Arabidopsis thaliana: one gene and its partners. The protein of the gene in region 2 interacts with the protein of the main gene of each other region in a biochemical or structural test. Each region holds a gene or a part of one and is shown on either strand. Other genes may lie near its edges.

What was found.
Region 1: the proteins of RLK (region 2) and AT5G51560 form a complex in vitro, tested with the Arabidopsis thaliana proteins (one large-scale study listed by BioGRID).
Region 3: the proteins of RLK (region 2) and AT2G16250 form a complex in vitro, tested with the Arabidopsis thaliana proteins (one large-scale study listed by BioGRID).

The regions. Positions count from the first base shown.
Region 1 is NC_003076.8:20,943,570-20,947,329, reverse strand, and holds the start of AT5G51560 (Leucine-rich repeat protein kinase family protein), read right to left. Parts: upstream 1,655-3,760; 5' UTR 1,524-1,654; coding exon 1,085-1,523; intron 510-1,084; coding exon 249-509; intron 142-248; coding exon 1-141.
Region 2 is NC_003076.8:26,843,627-26,847,386, reverse strand, and holds the start of RLK (receptor-like kinase), read left to right. Parts: upstream 1-2,092; 5' UTR 2,093-2,260; coding exon 2,261-3,760.
Region 3 is NC_003071.7:7,041,236-7,044,995, forward strand, and holds the start of AT2G16250 (Leucine-rich repeat protein kinase family protein), read right to left. Parts: upstream 2,120-3,760; 5' UTR 1,699-2,119; coding exon 1-1,698.

The DNA of each region.
Region 1 (3,760 bases), 5.9 Mb from region 2:
ATGGAAAACCAAACACGGTTGCACCGTATGGCTTAGGTTCCTCAGGAGCTGTGCCATTGCAAGATTTCAACGGCGAGAACTCAGCTCCACATAGTCCCAAGTTGTTTTCAAACGAAAAACCTTCATTTAATCTCTTCAGTACTGTCAAATCGGTACAACAGAGAAAGAAATATAAACCAAAATGAGAAACACTTCACAAAATACGCAAAGTTAGTTTCAAAGATCATATAGTGAATCAGTTTTCTAACCAGGAGGTACATTGCCAGTGAGGGAGTTGTTGCGGATGTCGAGAACTCGAAGCAGAGGAGGGCTAGCTAACTTGCCTGGTACAGAACCAAACAAATGATTGTAGCTCAAATCTAGCCGCTCTAGAGCACTTAAATCTCCTAAACTCGCAGGTATAGCTCCAGTGAGTTTGTTAGATTGAAGAGCAAGAACACTCAGCTTCCTCAGTGAACTAAGCTCCCTAGGAATGCTTCCAGTCAAATTGTTGTAACAGAGCTGCAAAACTACACAACAACATAGACCAAAAAAGGAATGAAGCTTAGCTTTGACTTACATTAACTTAGAACTAATTCTAGATTTAGAAACCTGGTCCTGCTAATTAAAGCTCAAATATAAAGCCTTTTGAAAGTAAGTGAATCAATTATCTAAATAAACAAAATTAATCAAGAGAAGTACAAGTTATCTTCAATTCAAGTCCATATTTTGGGACCAGTAAGCCATTTATGGTTCCAATTAAAAGTTTGAATCTTAAAAAGTTCTTGACTATTCTTCCTTACAGGAAAATTACAAAAAGAAAAATCCTAACAAAAAGACATGAAAAGGACGTTTTAAAGACAGATCATTAAAGCATTAAATTCCAAAATCATCTAATTCAAATAATTTCAACTACCAGAGATAGTAATGAAGTAACTAAAACCCCTAAGACAAGGAGCTCAGATTTCTAGGTTTCAAATCTCCACAGAACATTGATTAATCTTGGGACAAGAATTTTGCAGAAACCAAAGATCTAACAATGCTAAATTTAGGTTTTAAGTTTAATCAATGATTAAGATTAAAATTAAAGTAAAAAAGAACTAACCTTGCAAGCCTTGCATCTTCCCAATGTTTGAAGGAATCTCACCGGAGAGATTATTAACATTGAGATAAAGATCCGTAAGTTCCGACAAGTTACCAAGTTCTCTAGGAATATCTCCAACAAGAGCATTGTAGTGCAAGAACAAACCCGTCAAATGTTTAAGCTTTCCAATGTTCGGAGAGATTTTACCAGATAAGCCTTTCCCTTGTAGAGATATGTTAGAAACTCGTCCTTTCCAGTCACAACCAACACCTTCAAAGTCTTTACACAGATCTCCATTAACACTCCATGAAGCTAAGTGTTTGTCTTCTGGGTCAAGCTCTGTTTTAACCTCCATCAATGTCGCTAACTCGTCGGTGATTTCTGCCATGACTTGGTTGCTGAAGTGAAGGAAGAGAAGTGGAAGAAGAAGAAGATGAAGCAGCATTTGTGTCGCCGTCATTTTATTTCTAGGGTTTGGTTTTGAGCTTGAAGATAGCAGCTTCAGAAAGCTAAAGGAGATGTGAAGAAAGAATTAAAGGTTCAGTTTTTCAAGAAGAGGAGAGAGAAGATAAAGACACAGAGATGTCGCATGCTTTTGTTCCATTCAGACAAAAGAAAAAAAAAAGTGTTTGTGTTTTGGAGATACCAGAGATGGTTTAAATCTGATCGTTCGATGTTTTTGTGTTTGATATGAATCGTTGGATCTCTTGGGATGTTTTTAGTTATGGTGAGTTGGTTTTTATGTTATCTTATCTCGTTGATGTTGGTCCACTCTGACTAGAGCAATGCATGTTCTCTTTTTTTTTCTCCTTAGTTTATATATATTTCAAATTCTATTTCTTACAACATTTGTAATAGAATTTTCAAAATTTATTATGAAGAATTTGTTGTACTTGTACATACGAATTTTCTACAGTAAGTCTATAAATTGTATTATGATCCAACTTTTGATATCTTTTGTAATCGTAAATAATTTAGCTAAAAATGGTAAACAAGAAAAATGAAGGTCAAAACAAAAAGATCCCACATAGATTTTGGGAAAGTGGAAAAGCTCTTCTAAATAAGGCAATCATTCAATTATGCTGCGATGAAGCTAGGAGGAATATGACCTAATGACCATTATATTTTGGACACACTAAAATGTTCTAATTTGCCCCAATAGCCGTTGTTTTAATTGGTTAGGCTACTTATTTTTGAATACTAATAATCACAGCTAGATTTTATATTTAACCAAATATAGTCATATAATCCTAAATGTAGTTAAAGACAATCCTAAATTATATTTTAACCAACACACAATCGCAAATATAGTCGTGTAATCCTTAATGCAGATATAAAAAATCAATTTAACTTAAGATGCTAATAACATATTTATAAAAAAAATATAACAAGTCTGAATCTTATATACACAAAAAGAGATGTGTCGATGGAGTTGGGAGACAATTTGTAAATTGAAAGCACAAGCAATGCAATGCAATCTATTAATCTAATAAGTGACTGGGCGACGAATTCGGAATGGAAATCATGTTCTCTAAATTGGGCTTTAAACAATATTGCGTGAAGCAAGAATAATAAATTTGGGCTTTAGAAAATTGCTAAAAGGCCCATTATCAAATACCCAAAAAAAAACTAGTTTCTGTGTCGGAATTGTATTGAGCTACCGTCTACCGATCATGGCATACCGCATACTTATCTTAAATTATTAAAATTGCCTGTCATTATTCAGTCATGACTAAAATATATAAAAGAGAGCAGAGATTCATCGTAGTAAAAAAAAATAACGACCCAAAAATTATTTTACATGCTTTATGTGACTTTCTCATTCCTTAATGATTACACATAAATCCCTGAATTCATTTTATCTCTTATGCTATCATGAAGTCATGAACTATAGAGACGGTTAACGAATTTGCATTCTACCATATTACTGAAGTGATGCAACATGCACGCACTTTAAATATAAATTTGCATGCAGAGAAACTATAAAAGGAAAATTGGCTTGAATTACTTAACATGAATGAAACTAAAAATATTAACGAGGTTCGATTATTTTGATTTTCACACTAAATTTCAAACTATATATTAAATTGAAGTCATTGAAGGTTATATATATGTGAAGTTGTTTTGAATCTTAACGCTTAAATAGTCATTTCGGATTGTGATCCCACTAAAAACACTCATTCAGGATTATGAGATTATCTAATAGTACTACAATTCTTCGTGAGCAAAAGAGAAGATCCTAAAAATAATGTTTGCGTTTTCACTTTTCACTCGTTTTCACCGAAGCTGTAATAATCACTCGACACTCATGTGGGTCACGACTCGGTCACCTTAAATTATTGATCCCAACATTTACGACATAAGTTCAGAATAAATAGCAACGACATAAAAATTCATTCTCGACTCTTGGGTTTGGGTAAAACAATATCAATAGAAAATACAAACTTCATCATCGCATCCACGATTCTAACTTAGATAACAAGAATCGCATCCCAATTAACTGTGGTGAAAAACGAGATTCCTGTTCACTGTCACTTAAAATACAGGTCACTAATCATCGAACTGAAAATAAACAATCATGCATGTTTGTGAAAACGTGAAAAAATTTCCACTGTCAAGAAAGTCATCGCACCTTACAAAATAATTAAATTCACCACTAAAGTCTACAAAAGAACATTATGAAACGAATTAAATGCA
Region 2 (3,760 bases):
AATCATTCTAATCATATGTCGTTGTTAAAAGCCACTAGATAGTAGCTTACTACCAGAAATGGCTTCGACATGTTCACTTCAAAGAATCAAACAATCTAAATATTATTGGCATAATCAAATACTCTAGGAACTATAACAATTTTCTTGACCGTTATTTTCTCGAATAAAATCATCATATATTTGTGGAGGAAAAGAAAGAATGTATAAAGTCATAACAGATATCATATAATATATCCAAAAACACCCGACCGATCAAGTGACAATGCGCAGTGTTGTATTATTATATTATCACTGTTTGAAAAATTGTCGAACTCAGGATTGGTTTATAACTTTGCAAGACGATAATAACTTTGGAGTTTTGCATAATGGTAAGTAGAAAACGCCATTTTTCATGCATCTCCCGTCTTTGTCCACCGCCAAACTAGTAGCCATCCTCTAATTAATAATGTATTACTACAGCTTTGTATATATTCGTATTGGAGTTTACAGACTAATCACATAGTGGTTACGTTTAGGAAGATAAAACATACAGAAATGGTAAATAGCTTGTGAACCTGAATCTCGAAACTTACCTTGTCCAATTTGTAACATGAATGTCGACTATAAGTAAATTTGCTCTGACAATTTACAGTCAAACTCAACTATGAGTCTATAATATCACTGTAGTGGGTATTGTTCACACACAACGATTAATACTGTAATTAATGCTGAAACTTGGACTACACGACACTCATATGTTTTATTGTTTCACACACAGCAGAAGAAATAATTGGATTTTTTTTCGGTCCAGTGATTGCACTGGTTTGCAGAAAAATTCTTAAACGATAAATAAACCATGTTCATCTCATGATTACTTAATCGTTTGAGAAACCGTGACATATGGTGGTAACAAACAAAAACAAACAAATACCAACCGGTAAAACATATATACAGTATTTTATACATAAACAATTTTGTGATTTTGGCAATCAAATAACAAGGACCACAATGACGCTCGCGAAATTTAATTAAAACGGGGACCAATTTTAATCAATTTGACCCGGTGTACATTAATCTTGACATGCATTTATTTACGTGTGATGTTGACCTCTTGGTAGATACAGTACTACATTTATATATTTTTGATGCAACACATAACTGTTTAGTGTTTTTGATATTTCCTTTTTTTATCAGTCTAACTCTCGTGAGTCGTGAGTCGTGAGTTGTGAGTCGTGATCCATTGGGATTATTACTACGTAGTACATGTTAAACTACATATATAAGGATTCCATAAATATGAATCAAATCGAATTCTTCTTATATAACTAAGACATTAAATGTCTACTTGCACTTCATTAAAAAGAATCTTCTGATTTTATTTTTGGTATATGCAAAATTATAACTGCATTTAAAACAGAGATTAGATCATGAAACGAATATTATTTCTGAAAAAGTAGGTATATCTAGTAATGTTAATTTATTTTTTGCTAAGGATATCTAGTAATATTTTATATGAAACACTTGTTTTTATTTATGTGTTTTGCGCATAAAGTCAATATTATAACGAATCACTAGATTAGTTTTATTTTTATCTTATAGATTAGTTTAATAAGCCTATATCTATAAGATGTACTATGATCAGAGAAACATTAGGTGTAATGAGAAAACAATAATAAAACGGTCATATATAAGTAAATCCAAGTCAGTGAGAGACCTGCAAAAATTTCGAACTTTTTGTGAATGTCTTATAGCAAAGATACTATTCTCCCATCTGATCATGTTTCCATAGATATTAGTTAATTGGCTAATAATACAATTCTTCACACACATCACATGATCGATATGCGTAATCTCACGTCACAATTTCCGTCATAATCAAAAGGAGTAACAGAATTAGTATATTATATAGTTTCTGTGATCTAGCAAAGATTTAAATGTAAACAAAACTATCCAGATTTATATGGTTTTGTTACGTTTCTTTGAAGATCAATGTAAACAATGATGAACCAATATTAGGGTCCACGTTGAATATAAACGTGAAAAACGACAAAGCGACGTCAGCATAATTTACGAATAGGAAAACAGTGTTAACTTTTGTTATCACATTCCGTGCAATTTACATAGGATATAGAATTTTTTATTTACAAAAGTTATATTTATAAAGAATTACTCAAATCAAGAATTCCATAAAAAGATAAACACTTTCATATATCGTTCACAATCACATGGCCTTTTCAAAAAATCAATCTTTTAGTTCTCTATCGATGCGTAGGCTTGAAGCATGATGACGACAGTCGCCGCCGATCTCCACCGTTATCTTTTCCTGATTACCGTTTTTCTTTTCTTCCTCTGCGACAAAACCTCTCTTGCTCTGACCACAGACGGTGTTCTTCTTCTCTCTTTCCGTTACTCAATCGTTGACGATCCTCTTTACGTTTTTCGGAGCTGGAGATTCGACGACGAGACTCCTTGCTCTTGGCGTGGTGTCACGTGCGATGCATCTTCCCGGCACGTGACTGTTCTGTCACTTCCAAGCTCGAACCTTACCGGCACACTACCTTCAAATTTGGGTTCACTCAATTCACTTCAAAGACTTGATCTTTCCAACAATTCCATCAATGGGTCTTTCCCGGTTTCGCTTCTCAACGCGACGGAGCTTCGATTTCTTGATCTGTCCGATAATCACATCTCCGGTGCACTACCGGCGAGTTTTGGCGCGCTTTCGAACCTCCAAGTGTTGAATCTCTCCGATAATTCCTTCGTCGGCGAATTACCGAACACATTAGGATGGAACCGGAACTTAACGGAGATTTCACTTCAGAAAAACTATTTATCCGGCGGGATTCCGGGAGGTTTTAAGTCGACGGAGTATCTTGATCTCTCGTCAAATTTGATCAAAGGCTCGTTGCCGTCACATTTCAGAGGGAATCGTCTACGCTATTTCAACGCTTCGTACAACAGAATCTCCGGCGAGATTCCGTCAGGTTTCGCCGACGAAATCCCGGAAGACGCCACCGTTGATCTCTCATTCAACCAACTTACAGGTCAAATCCCGGGTTTTCGGGTTCTCGATAACCAAGAATCCAACTCTTTCTCCGGTAACCCGGGTCTCTGCGGATCCGACCATGCAAAACACCCTTGTCGTGACGGTGAAGCAACCTCTCCACCTCCATCGCCGACTCCAAATTCTCCTCCTGCATTAGCTGCTATACCAAATACTATTGGCTTAACCAATCACCCAATTAGCTCCAAAACCGGTCCGAAATCAAAATGGGATCATAAACCGGTGCTTATCATTGGCATTGTTGTCGGTGACTTAGCCGGTTTAGCAATCCTCGGGATTGTGTTTTTCTACATTTACCAGTCGAGAAAACGGAAGACCGTAACGGCTACGTCAAAATGGTCCACGTCATCAACAGATTCCAAGGTCTCAAAATGGTACTGTTTACGCAAATCCGTTTACGTTGACGGTGACTGCGAAGAAGAAGAAGAGGAATCTGAGACATCGGAATCCGAATCCGACGAAGAGAACCCGGTCGGACCAAATCGACGGTCAGGATTAGACGATCAAGAAAAAAAGGGAACGTTAGTGAATCTCGATTCAGAGAAAGAGCTTGAAATCGAAACGCTTCTCAAAGCATCAGCTTATATTTTGGGAGCCACCGGTTCGAGCATAATGTATAAAGCGGTGCTTCAAGACGGAACAGCTGTGGCGGTTCGACGAATAGCTGAATGCGGTTTAGACCGGTTTAGAGATTTCGAAGCTCAGGTTCGAGCCGTG
Region 3 (3,760 bases), on a different chromosome or scaffold from region 2:
GCCTTCACTTTTACCTTCCCGCACATCGATCTTTTTTATAACAACGGGTATACCATTTTCCAAGAAACCACGAAACAGATTCCCCGAATGACCACGTTTTATCAGATTAGCATCATTGAATTCCTCTGTTGCCTGAAGAAGCTGCTCATAAGAAAATGCATTTCCAAGACGTGACAAATCAAAGGTTTGTGCTCCTTTAGGTGGTTGTTGTGAAGCTTCCCCGGCAGGTTTTGGCCTGTCGTTATTTCCTCTTTGTGCCGCTCTGCGTCTATGGCGCATGCATAGAACCAGAATAATTGGCAAGATAACAAAAAGAAGAATAAAAGCAACTCCACCACCCACTGCTGCCAATATAATTACTGTTCTGCGGCTTATCCCTGAAGAAGCATTTTTCGATGTCGGTTGTGTCAAATTAGGACGTCCGAAATCATCAAAATCTAATCCTCTAGACTTATAGAATGCTGCACATATTGCTGACGGCTTCTGTCTCCTCTCATTTCGAAGGCAATTGCTTGTAACAGACACATTTTCCCCGGTCACATAATCAGGAAGCTTACCTTCGAAATAATTACCAGAGAGGTCCATTATCCTGAACCGTCTAAGAATCGGTGTGAGCTCTCCATAGAATGTGTTCGAAGAGATATCAACCATTTCAGCTATCTGGTCTGAATCATAACTAGAATATGGCAGCAGTCCTGTGAAGTTGTTCTTAGCAATGTCAAGAATCCGCAATTTTGGCAACGACCAGCACACATCAGGTAGACTACCAGAGAAACCATTTTCCCTCAAAACTAAAGTTTGCAGTTGGCTCTCAGCACTAAACAAATCTACTGGTAAAGTACCACTCAAAAGGTTATCGCCAATCGCCATTAGCTGCAACTTACTTAACTTTCTTAGCTCCTGAGGAACTGAACCAGACAATGAATTGATGCTGAGATCAAAGTCAACCAGATTGACAAGATCACCAAGCTCTGAAGGAATCGGAGACGAGAAACTATTGCTTGAAAAGTTCAGATGGATAAGCTTTGATAACGCTCCTAAACCAGGAGGGATAGGTCCAGTAAGGTAATTGGAAGAAACATCAAGAGTCAACAGATTCTTCAGAGAGCTAAAAGATTGAGGAAGAACACCAGTGAATGAGTTCCTAGAGAGATCAAGCTGTGATAGATTCAACAACTGTCCTAAACTGCTAGGAACTAAACTAGTAAGACTGTTCTGAGACAGATTCAAAGTTCTTAAACTAGTGAGATTACCAAGAGTAAAAGGAACAACACCGTTAACAGAACACGAACTAAGATCCAATACTTCCAATGCCAACAAACTAACACCAAACCACTCAGGTATAGTCCCCGGTAACGCTAACCCGGACGCGTTAAAATACGACAAACGAGTTAGATTACGAAGAGGATCAACAGAGAATTGTGGGTTTAGCTTACCAATTCTTGTTCTCCTAAACCCAGAGATATTGATCCCAATGATACTACCATTCTCACATTGTATACCTCTCCAATCAACACAAGGGTCACCTTTAATTGGCCAATCTGTTCCTCTTAACCCTAAAGAAGACCTGAGATTAAGCAAAATGAGTTTCTCACTGAATCGACTCTGTGTTTGACCAACAACAACACAGTCGAAGAACAGTACCAAACACAACAACAACAAGACAAAACCCAATGCGCTTCTTCTTTGATCAACCATTGCTTATCAAACTCAATCCAATGACCCATCAACACTCATCACCCAAACCCAGAGAGAGACAGAGACTATTTTTTTCAGGATTTAAGCAAAATACCCAATTCAACAACCCTAATAAAAATAACGTCTTTCGATCTTTAGAGAGGAAGAAAGAGACAGATATCGAACTGGGTTTGCTCTGTTACTGGATCCAATTACAGCTCCTACCTTCACAGACATTAAAGCACCTCTCTTTCTCTTTCTCTCTCTCTCTCTAAATCCTAATTTATGAGAAGAAAAAGTAGAAATTTTTCACTAATCCTTAAAATCAGACAAAACAAAAAGTGATTTGTTGAGTGAAAAAAATCTTTAGAGAGAGAAAGAAAGAAGAAGAAGAAGAAGATCGAGATTGTTGAGATAACAACTGTAGACTGTGACACTCCTCTCTCTCTCGTCTTTGCAAGAAACTTCGAAATTAATTTATTATTAATTACAAATCTGATTAATTAATAATTTTGAAATTAGATTAAATTAAAACCTAGTGTGGGGTAAAGTGACGTCGTTTTAATGTTTGGTTTGACTTTCCCGGTAATCCCGCCATAAGCCAGCTAAGCTGTTGCCGCAATTACTATTTGGGATTTTTTCTTTCCTTCTTTCCTGTTTTATTATTGTTGTAAATTTAATGTTCGGATATATAAGGAGTAATATATCTCACGTCCTATATTCACCATTCTTGGCCGAATAAAGGAATCTTTTTCTTTTCTTGCTAAAATTTTCTAAATACTCTGAATTTTTTGGTTCGAATGGTAACGGCAATCAGAATAGATAAATTCATCGATAATATAAGTGTGTTTTATTTTCAAGTAGATAATAAATCGTTGTGGATCAATCTTATTTGTATGTAAAAATGGTTTATGATTGGTTTACGGCAGTTTTCTTAGTATATATTATTATAGATTCTAATTTATGATTGGTAAATTAAAAGCGGTTTAATCTGCATAGTATTTGTCCGTCTCAACCGCTGTAATCATTTGCATTTTAAACAATTTATTACAACATATAATCATATACAGTACAATAGAAAATTATCAACTAGAAAAACATGTGAAATGTTGGCAACTTTCTTTCAAAATATTGGATGAAATATTTATCGGTTATAGGATTTTGTAAAGATGTTGAAGTATTCTTTTTAAAAAACAATGATATTGAATTTTCTAGCTTTTTTGATATGATCCAAAAATTTGATATATGTTTAGTTTAAAATTGATAGAAACAAATTCTCTATTGTAGAATGTTCAATTTAAACAATGCCAATCGAATGAAAATATTTAGTTTTTTTATTTAATTTTACTTGAAAAATGAATGATTATGTTAGTTCAAAGTCTCACTATGGTTTATTTAGAAAATAGTGATTAAGTAGACATTAATAGAGATGAATTTTTCTTGAGCTAAAAATTTCTCAAAAGTTTTCTCAAAATATATGAACAAGTGATGTGAAATTTTCTTAAACTGTTTATTAATTTTCATATGCTACAGTTGCGTATATGATTTTATTAATCGTTCCAATTACTGTTATTTCCATAGAAAAGTTTTCTCTAACCTCGAGCTAGTTAAGTCATAATTGAGGATATTTGTTCGGGAAGAAAAAGCAATGAACTATTCATCTTTCGTCGGATAACAAATTTACATCACTACCTAATTTTTGTTACATATCCCGCATCGCTATTAAATAAATCCAACGTGTCCGAAAGTACAAATGTTGTTTGTATCTGTGTTTTCCAGTTCAAGATCATATAACTAACACATGTCCTCTTCGTGAGACCCCACACATACAAAATAAGCCGTCAAATCTAAACCATCGGATCAGAGCAAGATTATTTCGATTCTGGTGACGTGGCACAAATCATGCGTCCAAGAGAGTGTTTTGGTCACAGTTCTAATCATATTTCTGAATGCATGTTAAGCACCGAATCAACGTAACCATGGTTTCGCGCTTCTATATAGAACCGTCGTCGTCATCATCTTCCTCAAATCTTTGGACGTGGCTTATGCAGACAACGAGTATCGATGCTTCGTCGGAGGTTTA